Lytechinus pictus: one gene and its partners. Each later gene encodes a partner of the first gene's protein in a complex. Links are inferred from orthologs where the notes say so. Each region holds a gene or a part of one and is shown on either strand. Other genes may lie near its edges.

Region 1 (7,377 bases):
AAAACAAGAAAGTTATGACATTTTAAAATTTGGCTTACTTTTAGATACACAATTCAGTGACATGCAAATAAGACAGTCAATGATTTCCCTCACTATTTCTTTTGTTTTTTATTGTTTGAATTGTACAATATTTCTTTTTTTTATACAGATTTGACAATAAGGATCAACCTGACTGAACCATATGGTATAAATCAATTCTAATTCCACATGTTCAGGAAGGAATTACTGTTTCACTTGACAATAAGATTAGAATATTTCATATAATGAAATACAAAACAGTGAGTGGATGATGTCATCAGTCTGCTCATTTGCATACAGACCAGGATGTGCATATTTTGTGAAATTTAGCAAAATTTTAAAATGTCATAACTTTCTTATTTAATAAAGTTAGTTTTCTCTTATGTCTTGGTATGAATCAAGTGAACTTAATTAATGCAAGAAGCTATTCTCTCACCATTTCATATGTCTGCATAGCAAGCTGTACTTTGTCGTCGCCATATTCCCTACTTTTTGTGAAAGAGTGATTTATCTTCTTTAATCTCTCAGCTCTCTGTTCTGGCTTCAGATCCCTGACATTCTTCAAGTAGTTCACCGTATCCTCGTCTATACTCTTGGCAAGTTCTGGAGAAAAATTGAGCACATAAAGAGGCATATCACACAAATGGGCTTGTGACATCATCACAAACTCAATGCATGCCATTTTGCAAAGAATACCAACTTAGAAATTCCAGATCTTTGTTGGTTTTTATCTCATCTCAATCAAATTATCAATATCATTGATTATCAGTATTATTATGCACATGGACTTCTATACTTTCCAAATCCAACAATTGCCTATAGATGCTAAACACAAAGATCATTACTTCTTCACGGATGCTTTATGATGAATTTCTCTGCCAGTGATTCCATACATTTCTGAATCTTCATAACCCTGACTCTCTTACATAAAGCTTAGCAATTGAATGTGGGTCTGGCTCTTAAGTTTGATCATATTACACAAATACAACAATCGTAGAAATCATCATGATTAGTCACCCAGTTTTATGATACGGGGGGGGGGGGGGCACATTTGGATGTAATTAAGCTTCCTTCTTTAATACCTTGTGTTCTCTGGTCCAAATCTCTCATCAGTGTGAAGTTCCTTTGAAGCTCAAAAGGAAGATTTTCAATACCTGGAAGAAAAAAAAACAAATAAATTGTGATATATACGGTATTACGGTTTACTGTTAAATTCAAGTCACATGGCACAACTTCAAGAAATACAATAACTTAGAGCCACTTAAAGGGTATTATTGATAGTTGAAATGGATACGAATAAGGTGGAGGCATTTTTGGTTCATGCGACCTGCCTCTTTCTCTATTAGACAATAACTGCCAATCTAGTTTGAAACCACTCCTAAATGTAGTTCCAATCAAGCCACCATAAGCAATTTGGTGTTTGGGATAACACACCAATGCTTTAAATGAAGACAAAACGTGTTGTGAACAGCAAGGGTTAGCTACTTGGTGAGCACTTTTTTTAAATATATTTATTTCTTTGCTTTTGAAAAACAAATTTGGTACACAAGTAAAAATTGTTGGTTTGTACAATTAAAGATGGCTCAGATTAGGCTATATCAAAGTTGTATATTTTTGGTAAACTTTGGCCAGTTTCTTACCACAATGTTCTTACAAAGATGCTTGAAATTTCACTTAATTGCAGCCATGACACATGTTTTCAGGGAATAATTTTCCTGGTATCGCAAAATACCCCAATAGTTTGATCTCTTTTTCAATTCTTGCAATTTTCCCCAGGAACTTGTTATGAAAACCAAGGTTTACTTTGACTAGCACACTCAATTAGGGTATTGAAAAGTGAACAAACTTTCCTAGATTTATTGGGTGGAGAAATCCCCAGAAACGAAGATGACCATAGAATCAAAGATGATCCTCATTTTTCGACTGGCACCCCGTTTTGATAGCATATAAGCTTAGTCTGGATAAGTAAAGTCAGGTTTTGGGGACTGCTTTTTTTTTCTTCTCGCCCTGTTGAAAGTGAAACTAACAAGAATTGCCTTATAAACATGCTTGAAAAAAATTTTGAAATAAAATCTACAAAATTTTAATTTTCTTTGTGTGCCCCTCTTTAAAATTTGCCCTTGCAGACTCTTTATTTTTTCAAATTTAAGTTGACAGATCTGAAAAAAAGGCTAAGGAATGCAGGGCCACATGCCGGGGGGGGGGGGGGGGGGACTGAAGCCCCTCAGCCCCCCCACACTTTTTTTTCCAAAAACGTAAAAATTACCACCCAGTCTAACTCTAAGTTCTAGATTCAATTGTGATTTTTTGCATGGTCAGCCCCGGTGCCCCCCCCCCTTCAAAAATGTTCTGCAGCCCCTGGAATGTGAGAAAATTATAGGGCAACAAACCCTCCCCCGAATAAGAGGACATTTTTAAAAATTAATTTCATTTTTTCATTAATTTTTAAATAAAAAGAAAAATCATGAAAATCAATCAATATTGTCTGAATCTGACGTCTGGATTTGCTTCAGCTTTGCTCTTTGAATTTGAATTATACGTTCATCGTGTTTATGAATTCATTTTTCTTTTAATGCTGCAATGCTAAAGCCTAAGGCTAAGCAGCAATAGTCCAGCAGGCACTCGTAGTCGTATTCACACGGGGCAACTCCCCGATGAACGAGGGCTACAGCTCCGTAACACACAATCATGATTCTGCAAGGCCAAGTCAGCTTCAGCCAGGGGCCCCATCGCTCCACACAGCATCAGTGCATAGGCAATAGCCGCACACACAACTTGAACACACGGCGCCCATATCGCTCCATGACTCATTCATTCAGCACAGTTCGTATACAAACATTGTGCAGTATACACGGGCACCGTACACTCGTCTAAAGGAATGCGAACCACCTTCTTGAATACATAATGAGGCACATTTGAGACCAATAAAATCACACTTCTCTTCAATGGACATACAAACAATTCAACCACGCCATATAAGAAAATTCTAAAGTATCAAACCATTCACACATCAAATTCCGTCAAATCCTACAAAAGGCGAAATTTTCCACTTACTGTCGAGGTACTGTTCGAGATAAAGTGCTGTAGCCATGGTTGTCAAATGAGTTCCCGCGTAATAAAATCATGTCGGAGTCGAGTTTATTTCGATGCCGGTGTCACGTGACTGATTAACATTGTGTTTTCGGATTGGCGGCTTGTTCAAAACGTCACGTGCATAATTGCAATAAATCGAGGTCTCAGGATACTTCCGGGTTGTCGATAGAAATATACACGGGAGGTATATATCTACAGAGCTGTTCGTATTTCCTTTCATTTTGTTTTCAAGTTATTTTTAATAATTGATTAATGTAACAGAGATAATTCACTGACATTCAATGAAGATTTTCAGTTTAGGAACGAGGACGAAAACATAAAGTTGGTAAAAGTTCCAAAGTTAAGATAATTCAATCAGGATGAGGAGCTATATATAAGAGGAGGCGGAAACAGAAGAATAGGAATAAGAATAAAAACAAGAATACGATTATAGTAATATGATTATTATAGCATCTTTTTAAAAAAATACATAGGCTTTACTTCAAGTGATTTTTTAACGCAAGATATTTCTTATACCTTGAATATTATGTATGGTTTCACTTTTCTCTCTGATCTACCAGGTCTGTACACTTTCTTTCTCTCTTCATACTTTCCTTCTCGCGTACTCACAACTTTGTCTCAACTACATTCCTTCTAGCAGCTGTCTCAATGCATATATACCATCTCTATCTTTTCCTCCTTTTTTCTCTCTTCTTTCTTGCTCTCTCTCTCTCTCTATCTCCCTCTGCCAATCATTATTCAACCTCTCATTTATTCTCTTAAGGTGTACTTTGTCCTTATATGAATTATGCATTGAATGTTTTCCCTTTTTATTGTGATTACTACAAATGTAGCTGTAGCTGACTTCATTTCTATTTCTTAAACTCATGAGATTTATATTAAGCCTTTGGGCTGCCCTGTGTAATTTATTTTTATATGTTTAAAATCAATCAATCAAATTACTAAAAGCATAGATTTTGAAAAAAGAAGAGAAACTTTAAGTTTGTTAATTTTGAAACTGGATCTTTTAGAATTTATCTGACAAGCGCAAACGGTGGCTCCAAGTCAAAAAGGGTTATACCATTTTTAATAAAACGTAGGACCAAAAAAGGAAGTGCTATAATATTTACTTAAAATCAGTAGGGTAAAACACACAATGCTATCAATCTGCATATTAATTTATTAAGTCACATCAGGCAACTTAGTACTGTTTAAAAAATACAATTCAAGATAATTCAAATCTAAATTTGAATTTAAAAATAAGAAATTTTCCAATGGAAATTAATGGAAATATGAGCATTTCATTATGATAGATGAGTAATTACAAAGTTATTAAAGGTTTTTATTTCTATGCATGCCATTATGAATATGTAATAAGAAAGCAGATGTCTTTTCTCAATATCTTTTTTTTGGTTTATCATATGAAATTACAATGATTCGCATTTTATGTTTCAATGGTGTAAAAACTTAGACTGCCAACACCATTGCTGTAATCAATTTTGTAACAAGGAAGATCGTTTTATACACATGTATGAAAAAAAAGAGATTAATAAAAAGATCTGAAATAGTGAAATATACCAAAAATAGTCATGCGTTATTATATTTCAGTATATATACATTCACATATGTTGACCAGCAGCACATGCTGAAGGGGTCAATTTTGAAATTTCCACGATAAAGCAAATAAACAACAAATAATTATAGAATTTTATCAAATTTTATGATGATAAAATGATGGTAAATAATGCTTTATCAAAGTTTCTCTTCTGTCTGAACTCATTATGAAAGCAGACTAAAAACAGATAAAATACTAGAAACATAATTCTAGTGGCTTCCCCGTCTCAAACAATAATACTTGATCCACAGATTAATGACTAAACAAAATAGTTGCCAAATATTGTTTGGAAGCATTTGACCAGGAGTAGGCAACAATAAACAATACTTGCATAACAATAAACATACAATTACATTAGATGAAAGAATACTGCGATTACACATGCTTAATAATATCATCATCTTCTATCAAAATGCTACAAAATTCATCCCAACAATATTTGAGGGATTTGAGCCTGGACATCTGTACAAGTAAACTTATTAGTGCTAAGATATTTAACATCATTACTTCTTAATCTTTTTAATTCAGATTTCAATTTACACACCATTAACAATAACATCATTTTAAATGGTGTAAAAATTCTACTTTAGTTTGAAAACAAATAAGTCTAAAGGGTTGAATTCTGAAGGTGGAATTCATTACTTTTATAACATAGTTATAATCATTTCCAACCCATACATCCATTGATCAGAGTAAAGATTGCACAAAGTGGATTTTACTTCAGAAAAAGTATTAAAAAATTGCACTGCAAGGCATGGATTGCGATTTGTAACAGGCTTTGTTTATCTCTAAAAACTCCTACAATGCAATGTGTGACAAGACTGTCAAAAGCTTTAAACCAGTTTCAATCCAAAATCATTCTTCAATACAAGTCCATTAAAGATGAAACTGTGAGTGAGTTGGCAAGTTCTTCGGTAGACATTGACTCCCATGCAAAGAAAGTCACCGATATCGAGGGCGTCATCATTAGGAAGCCATTTTGTGAGAAGCGCCCTCTAAGACCACCGCTGTCCAGCCAAGTGAATGGAGCAATGCTGCTGGTTTTGAGGGTAATGAGGAACTCATCTGTTAAAACTTTGCTGACAGAAGAGATCTACATAGGGACAATTACAAAAAAAGGAGAAGAAAAAGAGTCAAACCATTAGTGAAAAGAACATACTTGGAGGTGAACACATTTCATTTCTCAAGTTGGCAACACCAGAATTCTTCTTTCATCATTGCACTAGAAAGGAAATATATATACCTGAAGTACTTGACATTCTTTCATAAAGGTTATCATGTTTTGAAGTAGGAAACGTGCAGGTTGGCAAGGAGAGACAGTGATTTTGAAATTTTACATCAGGTTGCCAATTAACAGATTTTTAATGATCATTTTCTTTTAAATATCCGTTACCAATGAATGAAATAACGAAATTTGGAGGCAATTCATATGATCATAGTATATATAGAATATGGTTTTCCTTTCTTTCTCTTTTTGTTAGACAACCTGATCGGAGACTAGGATTAGACAATGGAGATGAGACCAAACAAAAAGTAGGAAAAAAATTGGTAATTTACCAAAACAAGACAGATGACTTACTCTTATAACTGGTTTCTTTAGTCCAATCACATCACTGAAGGATGACAGAAAGAGAGGATTGATTGGTGAGAGTTGGGTGGAGTTGTTATGGTATATCACCATGGTTACAAAGCAAGTGGGAAGAGGGTTTGAACCACACGCTGCTTTCTGAAGGAGGTCATCGAGGGGTATTCTGAGGACCATCTTAGATGATAGTGCATTCTGGAAAAGATGAAATGAAATGATAATTAATATTTATGAATGCAATGGATAGAATATTTCAGGAGGTGAAAGATGAAATGATCTATTCAACGAGGTGTAGCCGAGTTGAATGGATCATTCATTTCATCTTTCACCGAATGAAGTTTTCTGTCTATTGCACTCATAAACATTAATTATTTGTTTATATGACACCTAAAAATAGATTCTTTTTCATATAGAATTTATGAATCTCGATGCAAACTATGGTCATGCAATGGGAGCTCAGTCTGTTGATTATCACGTACATACAACATGTGCACTGCAAACAGGAGTGGTTTTACTTGTGGTGCCTGCAGTCTCGGTGGTGCGCGCGTGGAATGGACAAAATTGTATGGATCCAAAATTAAACAGTTGATGATGTCAATGTAAAATGGGTTGAATTATCGATATCAAACAACCAATCATATGACAAGGATCTATCTTGGTGTCATATAATAACAATTAGTTCCTGTAGAGTACTCATCTACTAGTGTATAAAATATTGATATTTTGAACAATATTGATTTGTCCCAACTCATGATAGAGATATGATATACAGTGAATCCCAGAAAAGACAAAAGGAAACCGTAATTCAGAGTAATTTTTTGCTATAATGAAAATTTTACTGAAAATATATTCTTCATATAATCTCAACATTAGTAAAGTAATTTCTCCCCCTCCCCCTCTGTTTGTCGGTTAAATGTGTTTATTTTGTAATATATACAATGTACTTGCTTTGAGTCTGTATACAGGAGTCAGTGTTTTATTAGGCTTCTTTCTCTTTTTTGTTGTCTCCAATTCCCATAAAATCGTTTTATGTAATTGTATTTTCTTGTTTTCTTACCTCTGATTGTCTATGCTAATTCTCCTTTTA
Region 2 (8,200 bases), on another chromosome or scaffold:
TACATGAGTATGTCAGCAATGATCTCCAACCCAATCAATTAGTAAACTGGAGAATTATCTCATTTGTAATCTTATTTTTTCGTACAAATGTTGTATATCATTGCAACAAACATTTCTATTCATGATGTAGTCATTTTGCCAAGCTTATAAACAGCGACAGGCATTTTGGGGGCAAAAATGTGAAATTGAATATTGTTAATTAGTGTAATTAAAGGACAAGTCCACCCCAACAAAAGTTGATTTGAATAAAAAGAGAAAAATCCAACAAGCATAAAACTGAAAATTTCATCAAAATCGGATGTGAAACAAAAAAGTTATGACATTTTAAAGTTTCGCTTAATTTCACAAAACAGTTATATGCACATCCTGTTTGGTATGCAAATGAGGAGACTGATGACGTCATCCACTCACTATTTCTTTAGTATTTTATTATATGAAATATTCTAATTTCCTCCTCATTGTCAAGTGAAACAACAATAATTCCTCCCTGAACATATGGAATTAGCATTGTTTAATACTGTATGGTTTAGTCAAGTTGGTCCATATTGTCACATTAAAAAAAAAAAAAAATATTGTATAATTCAAACAATAAAAAAAACCAAACAAATAGTGAGTGAGGGACATCATCAACTGTCTCATTTGCATGTCACTGAGTTATGCATGGGTGTTTTTTTTTAATAAGCGAAACTTAAAAATGTCATAGCTTTGTTATTTTACATCCGATTTTGATGAAATTGTCAGTGTTATGCTACAGTACATGTAGTTTGACTTTTCTCTATTTATTCTAATAAAATAAAAACATTTTCCTGTGGTGGACTTGACCTTTAATATGCATACAATAACAGATAATTATTCATTTTTTGTTACAGATTTAATTATTGATGTTACAAGATTAATACTGCTAAATACTAGGGTGATCCAATGTTGCATTAACTTTTGACACCAAACACATTTCAAAATTCATATTTACATTGCATAAACCCTTTCCACAGAGGATTATCTATTGTTACTGGTGGTGCTGTGACAATGCTCAGCACCCCCAGTAACAATAATATAATCCTACGTGGACAGGGCCCTGTTACATTGAGGTCTATGTAATAATTAGTTGTTAATTAGTCATTTTAAGAAAAAAAAAGGTATTTGAGACTTAACACTTTTTCACTAAGAATGGTAATACCTGTAACATCCAAAAAATAATTTTTTGGACCATTTTTACCCTGTTCGCGAAATTGGACCACCTTATGACATGCGACCATATGCAATGCACTATTTTTTAAGTTTGTACTCTACATGTAAATAATTAATTAATATGAAATATCAATTCCTTTTTTTTTTCTTTAATCTGATTTTGTATCATGAAATCACTACCATAAAAAGTACCACATTATAAAATGGAAAAAGTGATCATCATTGGCAGGCCCCTAAAACACAGTATTACACTTTGGGTAGACATGAACTTTAAGAAGTAGGCTACAGGCACTCATCTAATGAACAAGGTTATGATACATGTAGTCACTGGGTGGGGGAAATAACGTTGGCAATGTTTGGCGTAATTTTCTCTTCTTCTTTGGGACAAATGCTTGATTTTATTGTCAGTTTCCTCCATTACAACTAGATCTATTCACCATATAACTTGGCTCTTAGGCAACTTAAATGATTTCAATTATTATTTTTTCTAAATTAAAAATAGATTGTTGAATGACAATTTTCTTGCAATTTTACTTTCCACCAATAGAGGGCCTACACAAAAATATGCCCAAAATTCAAGTTTTTGAGCGCTCTGGTGAATACAAAAATAATCCCGAAGTTACTAATAAAAAATAAATTGCAACTGTATTGAAATCAGTATCATTGGTTTCAAAAGTGATATTTTAATGATTTTTTTTTAATGTGTTTGTAGAGGTCTACTGCATACATGTAGGTCTCTGTATGTAGTTTCCAATTCCCCACAGCTAACACTAGTAACAGCTAAGGCAGAGTGGTTGCAGTGATCAAGGAAGTGGCTACAGGTAGTACAGGTACATGTACAGTAGTTTTGACCACCATAAATAGACTTGGATCTAAGACTGTAGATTCTACCCTTTTCACAAACTTGTATTTTAAAATAATGATTAAAATAAGACTCAATCAAACTCAAGTCAAAGTTAGACAGAAGAATATCAACTTCATTTTCAGTCTTCATTTCATATTTTAAAAAATGCAAAAGTATTGACAGACACACGTCACATTTTACAGTTACACATTCATTCTCTCAACAAGCATAGTTCTTCTTCCTATGGCCTTGGCATATTATCGTACTCGTTGTGCTTGTCAAGTGCCCAGATGAATAGTGCGAGTAAAAATCTCTACAAAATAGTTTCCTTTGCTTTATTTGAAAATACAATTTCATTGGACCTTCCAAAGTTCCAACTTCCAAGACACAAGAAAGATAGCATACTGAACTACAAAATACAAGTACATAACAAAGGAGACATATCCGGCTTGATAGAGATCTTTCTAGCAAGCTAGCCGCGCTCGTTCAAATGTTTTAGTGACTCATGAATATTCATGCTCATGCCCAACGTGACGAACTCGAAAAAAAATTGTGCACGCCCTGTAAAAATGGGCCCACCTCTTTAAAATAGAATTTCATAGCACTTTCATGACTAAAATTTCCCCCAAAGTATTTAAATGACGTATGTTGGGGTAAAAAAAAAAAGCTAAATCCGGACTGAGCAAGGTACAAATCGAAAGCTAACTTATCACATTACCGACCTGTTCTAGCTGCAATCGGCTGCTGAGCTGAGCCAGTTGTACGCACGCTCCATGCTATATGCAGTGTTGTAGGCGGGGAGCGGAGAAGACACGGTTATGTCCCGTTGAACACACAGCTTAGCTCAAATCACTTGTGCTCTCATACATACAGCACATAGCAAGGCTTTTCGAAAATATCTGTCCGAACAAAGACGCACGAACAATGCCTTGCTTAATTTAAACCATGAATTCGTCCAAAGCGCGTCATGAAAATTCACAGTATGATAGTCCAGACTCTGCTTGATATATTCCAGAAGACAATGGTGCAAAAAGTTACGCATTTAACGAGATATTCGAAGCCAAATTTTGACGATTGTACTGTCCTGATACGCACTCGACGGGCTACCCTCCGCTCATTTTCAGACATCTTTTCGAAGGTACGAAAAGCGCCCCCCTAGCTTTTCAAAAATTACGCTATGCTCTAACGCCATCTTTAGTTGGAATTCGAGAAAATGTGGAAATGTTTTTTTTTTTTTCAAAAGATTTTGACCGGAGAGTTGTGAGGATGTTTAGATAGAGGGTGTAAATAGCGATGTTTGTCCTTAATTTGCTCACAATTCATTATCGCTGGTGCCGAAAATTATTCTGCATGTTGTGAACTCTCTAACCCATTCCCCTCGTGCACACTAAATAGACCATTTATTCACCATGACCTAGTGGGAATGAAGTTTTAATGAAAATAAATGATATATTTGTGAGCGAGCAAATAAACCACATTTTGTTATGGCATATAAAAATACTTTTCTGATGAAAATTGTTTTATTAGTAATAATTGATCATTATCAATTAATCAATCTATGAAGAGACGGGGGTGTAGACCTAGTCTATATTTGTCTTATATTCATGATTGTCTTCCAGAAGGCCTAGATATTTTTCGGTCATCTCACTAATTGCATTTGTTTGCTTTCGAAACTATGCTACATTGCTACACATCTATTTTAAGATTGTCTGCAGATTTATGTGAACGAAGGCAACCACAGCGAGAGATAAAAATAGCATTCTATGTATATGCGTATTACAGTATAGGTGAATTTTTGTATAATCAAATACCAGGGGAAAAAAAAAAGGAGAAAGAAAAAAAAAGGGGGGAAAGGGTATATAAAGGGGGTAAAAGAGAGGGGAAAAGAAAATAAGAGGAGGAAGACCAGTGAATGAAATAAGATGAGGGGAAGACTTGGAAAATCTTCATTGTCACTTTAAAAAATTTTCGCTCTCGCTTCGCACTCGCATTGCCTGATCGAAGATACAAATCTTGCTAAATGGGCTGATATAGGGCTTAAAATATAAAGTTTGAAGTCAATATATAAAAACATATTTCAACTCGGACATCAAACTTTCATTATTTTGTTTGATTTACAAATTAATTTGAAAAAAGTGCTTTGTAAAATGTCGGTTTATACGGTCTGAATATTAACATTTTCAGCTCGCGCTGCGCGCTCGCATTATTTGATTTGTCAAGTACATATCCTCTTCGATTCCATAAAGCAATATCCCTTTTCAGGTCTGATTGTCAAAACGTATTAGCTAGCGCTGCGCGCTCTTTTGATTGAGTTATGTATATCTTTATAATTCTATAACAAACTTCTTAAAATCACCTTTTCATGACAGCTAGCTTATCAATAAATAATTTCGGCTCGTGATTTTGCGCTTGCATTAATTGATGGAAATATATTTTTACCCATGCATCCTATTCATAATTACAAAAGTGTTTAAAATGTCCACTTTTCAGGCCTTATTATCAACAAATTTCGCGCTCTCATTATGCTTATTAGATTCATGAATAAGATAATAATATTTTTATTAACTCCTATATAATTAAGTGTCTTTTTCAGAATGGAAAAGTTTCATAATAATGAAAAAATATCAGCTCGCACTTCGCGCTCACATCATTTATTAAGTGCAATCCATATCCACTTCACAATTTTCATACACCGTTCTTGAAATAGTGATTAAATTGACCCTTATTCAAATCGGAATATTAAATGTTTTCAGCTCTTGCTTCGCGCTCGCATTATTGATTTTCATGATAAATAATGTATTTAGAATGCCCATGCAGATTCTAGGTCTATAATGTAGAACACGGGCACGCATGTTTATTGAGATACGCTACTTGTTCTTTATTTAAAACATGGTATCAAGTTTCAGATCAGAATATCAAAAACTTTCTGCTCGCTCTTCGCGCTCGCATTATGTACATGTATGTTGGCCATAGGAAAATACCCAATTGCCCACCAGTTTTCAATATTTACAAAGCATGAATAAAGTGTCCCGTTTTTATGTCTAAATCTCTTTTTTTTCCGCTCGCGCTTCACGCTCGCATCAATCGTGTAGTTAAATATACCTATCCTGTTCATGATTATAAAAAAGTGCTTACAGTTCCAATTGTAGGTCAGAACATAATAAAAAAATCAGCTTACGCTTCGCCCTCGCATTTTTTTATTGTTGAAATATTTCTTGTCTTCATGGCTAACTGCAAACAGTCCTTAACTGGTCCCCTTTCGATCAGGCTGAATGTACAGTATATTAAAACTTTCTGCTCCCGAAGCGCGAGCAGAAAGTTTTCTTCGCGCTAGCAGTATTATATAGTTTACATATACGCAAATGGTCAGGATCACAAACATTACCCAGAATGTTCAATTTTCAGGGGAAAATGCATGAAATTTGCAAAAATCTTAGCTCGCGCTTCGCGCTCGCACTATTTAAATAGGGCTTATGAGATTATTGTTGTTTTTAATTAATAAAGCTGTTGACTGTTAGGACTAACCCTTCAAAATCAATTTGGGCGGCCGATCAGGGAATTGAGTGAAAAAATTCGCCCCCCCCCCCCCCCCCCATTGGCGAAAGCTGGATCCACCCCTGTCTTAATATTCTGTATTAAAACGAATACACGCTGAGATCCAGTGAGCACAGGTATGGAAAGAAAATAAACACCATTGAAAAGGGGTATACTGCAGGCTTTGAATATCGTTCGATTTTTGCCAATAAGTCCACATTAAACTAAATTAAGCGAATGTAACAATACCTCTGTAAAGCCGCAAGTGTAAGTGTTTCAACCAGGAATACGTTTTTATTAATTAAAAAACGTTGCTATTACCCCACACGTCACTGCCTATCGGCCCGAACGATCCCAAATCAACGTGTTCTGCCTGACCACGATAATCAGTGGCATTATGATGGGGGATTGGGGGCGCTTGAAAATGGAAGAGAGAAAGTGAAATATAATATCATTTTCTAAATATGTCTCAAACATACGGTATACGAGCGACTACAGAGAAATAACCCATCCTTCACCCCATGGGCGGAAATCCCAGGGGGGACAGGGGGGACGTGTCCCCCCTACTCAAAATAGTAGGGGGGACACAATATCAAATGTCCCCCCTACTATTTTTGGTCTTTTATGATGGTAAGAAATACATCATTCTAAATCGAAATAAAACATGTATTTGGGGACGAGTATGGGACGAGATGACCTTACTTTTGGGATGATAACCTTTTTTTTTGCTTGTCAAATTTTTCCGCCCCTTAGGCGGACCAGGGGGGGTGAGGGGCCCGCCCCCCCCCCTCTTCTTGGCGGATCAAAAAAAAAGGAAAAGGGAAAGAAGGAAGGAATAAAGGAGGGAAAAGAGAGGAAAAATAGAAGAGAAGGACGACGAGTGCATAAAATAAGATGAGGGGAAGACTTGGAAAATAAAAATAATCTTTCGTGCCACTATATAAAATTTTCGCTCGCGCTTCGCGCTCGCATTGCCTGTTAGTTGATTTACATATCTTGTTCAATATGGAGCTCGAATGTCAAGTTTGGAAGTCAATATACAAAACATATTTCACCTCGGAAATCGAACTTTCATTATTTTGTGTGATTTACAAATTGATTTTTTTAAAGTGCTCTGTAAAATTGTCAGTTTTATCGTCTGAATATTAACAATGCTGCTTGCGCTGCGCGCTCGCAAAATTTGATTTATCAGGTACCTATTATTTTCGTATATTTCATAAAATTTTCAAAATATCCCTTTTCAGGTCTGATTGTTAAGACGTATCAGCTAGCGCGCTGCACTACGCTCGCATTTTGATTGGCGAATTATATATGTTTCAATATTGATTATACAACAAACTACTTAAAATCCCCTTTTCATGACAGTTTATCAAAAATTTTAGCTCGCGATTTGCGTTCGCATTAATGGTTGAAAATATATTAACTGATGCATCTTATTCATAATTACAAAAGTGAAATGTCCAGTTTTTATGCCATAATATCATCAGATTTTGCGCCCTCATTAGGCATTAATAGATATGATATTAATTTAATAATCAAAGTGTCCCTTTTGTTTCATCTCGCTTAGCAAGAGGAATAGGAAGATAATCATCATTTTCATATGATGACATGTCGTATGGATGTCCCGGTCCTATGTCAAAACTCAGAGTAAAAATAATGAAAATATCAACTCTTTTTTAAGTGCGATCCATATCCACCTTATACAATTTTTCTACAAAGTGCTTGAAATATAAAGCTGAAATTGACTCTTGTCAGATCAGAATATCAAAGTTTCCTGATTTTCATGATTAAAGATGTATTTAGAATGCCTATGTTTATTCAGATACTCAACTTGTTCTCTATTTAAATCATTATCCAGTTTCAGATCACAATATCAAAAATTTTCTGCTCGCGCTTTGTGCTCGCATTATTAATGTAGGAAGACCCCATATTACTCATCCTTTTCATGATTTACAAAACATGAACAGAGTGGCCCATTTTTTAGGTCTAAATCTCGATTTATTTTTTCTGCTCGCGCTTCGCGCTCGCATCAATTATTTAATTATATAGCTCTATCCTGTTCACGATTACAAAAACTGATTGAAATTTTCCATTCTTTCTTTCTTCGCGCTCTCATTTTTTGATTGTTGAAATATGTAACGCCTTCATGGCTAAGTGCAAGCAGTCCTTAACAGTTACCTTTTTAACAATTACCAGTTCAAAACGAATTAAAAAATTTTCTGCTCGCGTTTTGAGCTCGCATTATTAATACTCATCCTTTTCATGATTTACAAAACATGAATAGAGTGTCTCGTTCAGTAAATATTATAGGACTAAATCTCGAAATTTTCCGCTCGCGCTTCGCGCTCTCATCAATTGTTTACTTGTATACCTATTCTGCTTGAGTTACAAAAAGTGCTTACAATTTCCATTCTTTAGGTCAAAATGTCAAAAAAAATTTAGCTCGCCGTTCGTGCTCGCATTATTTGATTGTTAAATGCTACTTTAACAGGTATCTTTTCCATCAGTTCATTTCTGCTCGCGCTTTGCGTTCGTAGTAAAGTTGCATACACATCTTTTTCATAACAAACATTGCCCAGAATGTTCAAATTTTAGGAAAAAATACATAAAATTTCCAAAAATTAGCTCGCGCTT
Region 3 (7,346 bases), on another chromosome or scaffold:
ATAACAATCTGATTGAAAATAGCATTATTCTATTGACAATTGTCTGTTTTAATTTCATTCTTGTTGAAATGGTTCTTAGTTTTTAATTCAAATCACTTTCCCTGGATAGTCTTTAGTTTTGAATTATCACAATGGTTATTTCCATGGTACTTACTCCTTTCATTCTGTGAATCTGTGAGACCAAGAGATGCCTGTTGAAAAATAAAGATTAGTGGTAGCTATTATTGGTGAAAGCTCATTAAAAGTGGGTTCATATTAACTATATACCATGAAAACATATGCAAGACATCAATTGAAATTCCACTTCCTATAATCTGATGAATTTTTAGTACAATAAATCAAATTTCACACATCAAAGGTCACAGTATATGCAACACTCCAATGATATCTGTCAAGAACTTTCTGTAAAGAATGCCCACATTGATCACAGGCTTATTTGCCTGAATGGAAATATCATCAGTCCTTTATTTTTGTACGAGACCAATTTACAAGACTCAATATTTGTATATAGCTCATTTCTAAACCAATTTAAACAAATTTGCCATGTACTAATACTTGTTTCTTCTACGAACATTTTTTTTTTTTACTCAGGGCAGTAATCAAATATAGTATGAACATCTGCCTATGACATAAAACTATTATACTAAGAAAACTATTGAAAAAATGACATATTGTGTATTAAGGCAATTAAAGCAATTGCCCTTTACCCTACATCTCAGTCTCATGTTGAAATATAAATCAAACATGAATATATGTCATTTCCATTTTGGTTGACAAAGTATTAAATATGCATATATCATGGAATTTCACCCTTCATTTATGAATTTTTAAAAGATCTATGTAAAAAGTTGAAATCTCTACACCTAGACTACAAAATGGCTAGAAAAGTGATGTCACTGTGATGACTAAAATGTATTTTTTCAAGTTTGACTCAGTATGACATTTTAACACAACACACAGAATTGCCAATTTGAAATTAATGTAGTCTTAGTAATCTCATATTTCAAAGTTTTAAACAGCCATTACTTTCCCATTCCTGGCCCGGTTTCTTTCAATATTTGTTAAAGACTGGTTTCCCCTAGAACACTTACTTGAGATGTAATACTTGATTTAGAAAACAGTCTGTCAGCTTCCTTGAACTTTCTGTTTCGTTTGTCTGTCTTACTATTGGTACTCCTGCAAATAATAAAATGTTACTCGCATATTCTCTTATATTTCATATATTATCTCTTATATTTCAATCATCATTAAACCAACATTAATTGTAAGAATTGAATCTTTTCTTGAATTCAAGACCAAATACTTACTGAATTGGTAACATATTGCTGAGTAAAAACAATACATTCTGAGGCGTACCAGAAACGATATGCGCAGAAACTCAACTGTAAACCTGAATACACTTGCATTTAGAGATTAATGAAAAATTTTAACCAAAAAAAAAAGAGAGATGCTAATGAGCTATTTTGTTCTGTTGTTTTGTTTGTTTGCAACTCTTAGTTACCCGGTGCTGAAAATTGCTGTGGAGTAGCACTTGTGCCCCCTGCTAGAAATTGCAAACAGAACAAAATGGATGCATCCATGCCACAGGGATTATAAGGTTTCGTGCCGATGAATTCAAGCAAGAAAATTGAGAAATCCTGCTCAGTGCTACTATTTTCATAGCGTTACTGGGTTGATTTATTGTTTAGATATATAGTATCATGTGTAATTTTCGATATACGGTATAAATCTAGATGAAGGCCTGAAAATGGTTGCTATTCTCAGTCTTTGGTGACACTAAATTTCTTATATTTTTTATTTTAGCAGTCCATCGGTCTGGAAGAAATTGCCCACTTCGACTCGGCCCTAAAATCACCCATATCTGAAAAACCATTCATCCAAGTGATAACCAAATACATATGTAAACAACAAACAATATTCCTATTTCCTACTTACTTATTTGTTAGATATCTGTCCCATCCTCTTATAATGTTGCCATACAAAGCTGTGTCTTCCAGGTAGCTGCCTTCAAATGCATAGATTTGTCTTTCAAGATTTGCAAGTGTCTCCTGTACATAGGATATTCAAGTTAATTTTTTTTTTTAAAGACAATACCTACCCCTTTCATTGAAGTTAAAGTCAGTAAAGTGAGTGATTGTTTTACGGATTGGCCTTGTAATTACCGAACACATGAATTTACGCATCAGAAAATAATTTCCATATATTCTCAAAACTTTGCAACATCCTTCCAAAGCCAGGGAATTCAACTAGAAAAAATGATGAACAAAATTATAAAAGCCAAAAACACACTTCATTTATTCTCAAAATAACAAAATATGGTTGAACTAGGTGATTTTGTGAAGTTTCAAACTTTTCCCACAGAAAACACAGAGTCGGTAATACCATTTTCAAGTGACAAACATATTTCACATGCGAAGAGGGCCGAGGGGTGCGATCAAAAGCCGATATCATAAAAAAAGAAAGCTGATCTTGGCAAAATGTGTACATCGTTATTCTTTGTAAATACACTATTTGTGATTCACCAGGCCTGGTATTCATCCTGTAGGCTGTAGTGTAGTGGACGTTTGTCATTTAAGAAACATTGTCATTGATTGACTGTGTTTGATTATCTCTCATCTGATCATAATGATATGATTAAATCAATAAATTTATTCAAAAAAACACCAATGTATTCAACATTTGACAATTGTACTGCGTAAATATATTATTTGATTCAATGATGTAGATCTATACGGGGACGGGAATTAGCTTTGTGCATTTTAAGTAAAAATATCACATTATTGTGAAAATCCCATTAGATATGTTCGCGTAAACTTCGCATGTGCCGGTATACCGTCGGTCAAGCAGCGCAGGGCCAGATGTTCGCACTTTTCCGTACGGCAATCTGTCGAAACTCATTAATCTGACATCTAATTACCGTATTTTACTTAACGGTATAGGATGTCATGATACTTACAGCTATTTCTGATCTTCTCTTCACCAATTCCGCTAATTCTGTTCTCGTATCTGACGCCTGCTGCGCACTTTTGGACGACATTTTTCTCTCGACCTTAAAAATTCCGCATCTGGGCAAAGTCCGATCATCATCAATCAATCAATTTATACGCGAATATAATAATAACGAACGTAGAGGGAAGCAACACAATGATGGAAAAACGAGCTACTCTGATGATCTGATAGAGAAAAATGAGCTTTTTTAGAAGACGGGTTTAAAAAGGGTATAATGCGCAGGTTTCAAATGGGACAAGACAAGAAGAAGCATATCAAACTCTAATAAATGAAGAATCGAGTGCTTATTGATAGTAGATAATTAGTCAAATCACTCTCAAATAATATTATCAATAACTTTTGCCTCGGTCAGGAATGATAAAGAGACCTAGCAATTTTTTCAAAAAGTGAAAGAGACTTTATTTGTTGTGAGGTATAGATTATCAGACAAGACACATAGCAAAGATTAGCGATCAATCGCTAAATGGACTGACCAATCAAGATCAATGTTACACACGCATTTGGTTCCGATACTGACCAGGATATAAAAGTATTCTTTCATCATATGAAAGAATTCTTTCATATTTGCCATTCATCGCTAAGCTTTGTGTTACGGAGCCTTGCAATCAGTTCAAGGTTATAGGCCTACCACACAGAAAAATTCTGCTAAAAAAGGGGTTTTCATACTAAAGACTTAACACACGAAATGGTTCTGGAAAAAAAATCAAAGTATTCTTTTATTTTTATTTTTTGGGGGGTCCTTAATTGTACAGTTGGTTTCTAGTATAAATAATAGGCCTATATAGGATATATGTTAAAATATAACCTTGTTTCATATAAGGTAGATTATTGTTCTTCAGGTTTTTGCAAATTATTTGATCGATGGATATATCCTTACCGCCATGTTCCAGTACTTGTGGTTTATACATTTTGTTGTTACAATATATTACTGTTTACTATCAATAGGACCCCATTGGAAATAAGGCGGCTTTCGTGTCACGGGATTCTTATAATTCATTGTATCTCATATTACCTGTGATATTCTTGACAAATAAAATCAATCAGTCAATCAATCAATCAATCAATCAATCAATCCATACATACATAATTGCTATGAAGATGAAGATTGGTAACCTTGTCAACACTAGGCAGATGCCGTTGGCTCCCGGACTGTACGGTCTACATCAGAGGCGGATCTAGGATTTTCCAAGGGCGGGGGCACATCTTCCGGAGAAAAATTTGCCAAGCAAAAAAAAAAGGTATTCACCCCAAATTTAAGTTCTTTAAACAAAAAGGGGGGACCGGCCGGATATGCCCCCCCCCCCTGGATCCACCAGTGGTCTACATGATTTTGATTGATTTTAATTTCCATTTGGTCTGCTTTCCTCTCGCCCATGTTCCATTATCGTTATACGTTTGACGCATCCTTGAAGATTTTTAACCTTGATTATTGATATATTGATTTTTTGATTATGAAAGCAACGGGAGGGCCCTGATGGGAGGGGCCCTTACCACCCCCTCCATCCCGGCCTTGATTGATATAGATCAAGAGGACCACGGTGCAATTAAGCATAGTTTCACTGCAAAAAATATTGGGTAATTTTTTTACCACCATGGACCGGGTAATTATGTGTCCAACCAATTTGGGGCAGTTACCCAATGCGGAAAGCATATTATGTAAAGTTAAAAAATGAGCAGCAATTACTTTAGAATTGGCAAAATTTTCATCACACTTGATAAATGCCCAAAAGAAATGCCCAATGTTGGTTGGGCACATAAAACCTCACTATGAAGCACTTTTACGCAATATTTTTTTAGAGCGTTGGATTGCAGGGGTATAGAATTTTAAAGAGTGGGTTCTAGTAAAGTGTTAACAAGCACGCCCCCCCCCCCCCAGGTGACTTTGGTCTGCTAGGTGACAAGCAAAAAAAGAGAAAGATAGAAAAGAGAGAAAGAAGGAAGGGAAGGAAGGAAGGAAGGAAGAAAGAAATGGCGGGGGGTGTACTCGGGGGTAGGCCTATATACTCTGTTACGATACTATAAATAACAAGGAAAATTTATTACAGGAAAAAGATACACTAAACAAAACAAACTGATCTTACATCTCTTGAAGTGTCAGTTCTGATTATAATCCAGAGTTATGATAGTCCCGTATTGAATCCAGATAAAATCCAAGTTGGTTGGTCAAGATTCCTTAAATGAAAGTTCACAATGATGGCGATGATGAAATTGATGTTGAAACACGATGAATAACAAGATTCACAAACTGCAACGAGTTGCAATGTCCGTGAAGATGAAGTTGATGATGACAAACAGTCGATTTCATCAATCCATGGGTTGAAAAGCATTCATTAAATCAGGTTGATGATCTCGATGAGAACTGAGAATTCCCCTCTCAAAGTAACTGCAAACAGTTCATTGATATGGCTAAATGTGGTATTCCAGTTGGAAATAAACTATGCTCTGACATAATTAAGGCTGGTGTGAAACTCTGAGTTCTGATCTGATGTGATGATGTCCTTAAAGAAACTGCCAGCCTTTATAAACATTCACTATTCTGGAAGCTTCTCGTATTGTCTTTAAAAAGAACATTATCCTTCTTTCTAGAATAGTCCAAACACTTCTAGAAGACTCTTGAATGACCTCAGTGAAATTAACAATGTAAACAACATAGCTAATCCTATTGTCCTTTTCACTGCCACTATAGAAGTCTTGTCTATCTTAATATATTCCAGAAATAACAAGATTACTCTATCTCATTAAATAGCATGCCTAACAAAGCTTTACTGGGACATTCTGGAATATTCTTAATCATGAATAATTTTGATGTTATTAATAATTTTAATGTTATCGTGACGTTTTTTTTTCTTGTTGGTTTTATGTATTTGTGATACTTTATGTATTTTTTTGTTTGATTCATTTTACCTTTTGTTCTTTTATTTGTCCTTGTATGCTACCTGCTTTATGCCATTTTATATCAATAATTTTCAAAGTGTTTTTAATTGTCAATTTTATAACTTATTTATACATTTTACTTAGTTTAATTTTAGTCACACGTTTTTAAAGAAATTTCCTTTATTTCTATGATTTTGTTCGTCTTTTAAACTGTCTTGATTTTAATCTAGGTTTTTAATTTTTGTTTTGATTCATTTAATGTGATATCATTGATATGTCATGTAATTTTGATAGTGTATTGTATTTTACTTTATATTAATTGTATTTCATTTATTTTGTAAATCTTTCTATGTCTACAGGGCTCTTTTGTAAAGCAGGCCTTTGGGCTCTGAAAGGACTATCCTGTTTTTAAATAAAACTGAATAAATAAATAAATAAATTATTATGCTATGAATATCCTTGAAGAGAAAATAACTAAATAAATGAATGTAATTGCTCTTACAATTCTACTTATATATAACAACTCCCAAACGAAGGCGAATAGTTTGGTCAAATCTATGCATTTTAGACCTTTAATATACATGTACCAACCTTGGCTAATAGACCAGTTCGTAGTTACTCATGGGCAATTTTCGGTCAAATGACCTTTCATTTCTTTCATTATGATAGGCAGATTTCAAAGCAAAATATTACGTAAGCTTGCCTTACATAGCAGGATGAAGAAATTGAATGACTAGAATAGCACACCAATGAACACTTTATGAAGGTATTTGTTGCATTCCTACTTTGAATGCATAGCATGTTGCACAATGTACTTGGCAAACTGTGAAAACCAGTCGTTCGTGGACGCGTTGTTGTTTTTTGTGGATGTAAATGAAAACCATGCACAATTCAAAAGAATACATGAATAATAAAGACATCAAAGTTGGTGCTTATCTCATTAGATTTTAAACCACCATGTCACTTTAGTACAAATGACCTTCCTCTGATCGATCATGCGTAGAATCTTTTGATCATGCGCAGAAAGGAACTACGAACTGGCTTATTAAAGGACAAATCCACTCCAGAAAAATTTTGATTTGAATAAGTAGAGAAAAATCCAATTAGCATAACACTGAAAATTTCATCAAAATCGGATGTAAAATAAGAAAGTTATGGTATTTTAAAGTTTCACTTTTTTTCACAAAACAGTGATATGCACAACTCAGTGACATGCAAAATTAATGACAGAGTCGATGATGTCCATCACTCACTATTTCTTTTGTTTTTTATTGTTTGAATTATACAATATTTCATTTTTTACATATTTGACAATGAGGACAAAGTTGACTTAACCATATTGTATTAAACAATGCTAATTCCACATATTCAGGGAGGAATTAATCATTTTTTCACTTGACAATGTGGAGAAAATCATAATATTTCATAGATCATAATAAAATACAAAAGAAATAGTGAGTGGA

Evidence for each region. The genes of interacting proteins can lie anywhere in the genome.
Region 2: inhibitor of growth protein 4-like (region 1) and peregrin-like share a complex: the UniProt entries of both Drosophila melanogaster proteins name them as parts of the enok complex. The link is inferred for Lytechinus pictus from reciprocal best matches to the Drosophila melanogaster genes Ing5 and Br140.
Region 3: inhibitor of growth protein 4-like (region 1) and chromatin modification-related protein MEAF6-like share a complex: the UniProt entries of both Drosophila melanogaster proteins name them as parts of the enok complex. The link is inferred for Lytechinus pictus from reciprocal best matches to the Drosophila melanogaster genes Ing5 and Eaf6.

The regions. Positions count from the first base shown.
Region 1 is NC_087258.1:4,765,483-4,772,859, forward strand, and holds the start of inhibitor of growth protein 4-like, read right to left. Parts: upstream 3,193-7,377; 5' UTR 3,110-3,192; coding exon 3,073-3,109; intron 1,173-3,072; coding exon 1,101-1,172; intron 622-1,100; coding exon 455-621; intron 1-454. Other genes in the region: beta-mannosidase-like, read right to left, coding at 5,568-5,798, 6,285-6,485. UniProt on the Drosophila melanogaster protein: Component of the Enok complex which has a histone H3 acetyltransferase activity.
Region 2 is NC_087247.1:47,609,770-47,617,969, reverse strand, and holds the start of peregrin-like, read right to left. Parts: upstream 3,189-8,200; 5' UTR 2,755-3,188; intron 1-2,754. UniProt on the Drosophila melanogaster protein: Scaffold subunit of the histone acetyltransferase (HAT) Enok complex which has histone H3 acetyltransferase activity.
Region 3 is NC_087246.1:18,104,608-18,111,953, forward strand, and holds the start of chromatin modification-related protein MEAF6-like, read right to left. Parts: upstream 3,189-7,346; 5' UTR 3,038-3,188; coding exon 2,957-3,037; intron 2,049-2,956; coding exon 1,936-2,048; intron 1,177-1,935; coding exon 1,092-1,176; intron 192-1,091; coding exon 155-191; intron 1-154. UniProt on the Drosophila melanogaster protein: Component of the Enok complex which has a histone H3 acetyltransferase activity. Might be involved in transcriptional activation of selected genes.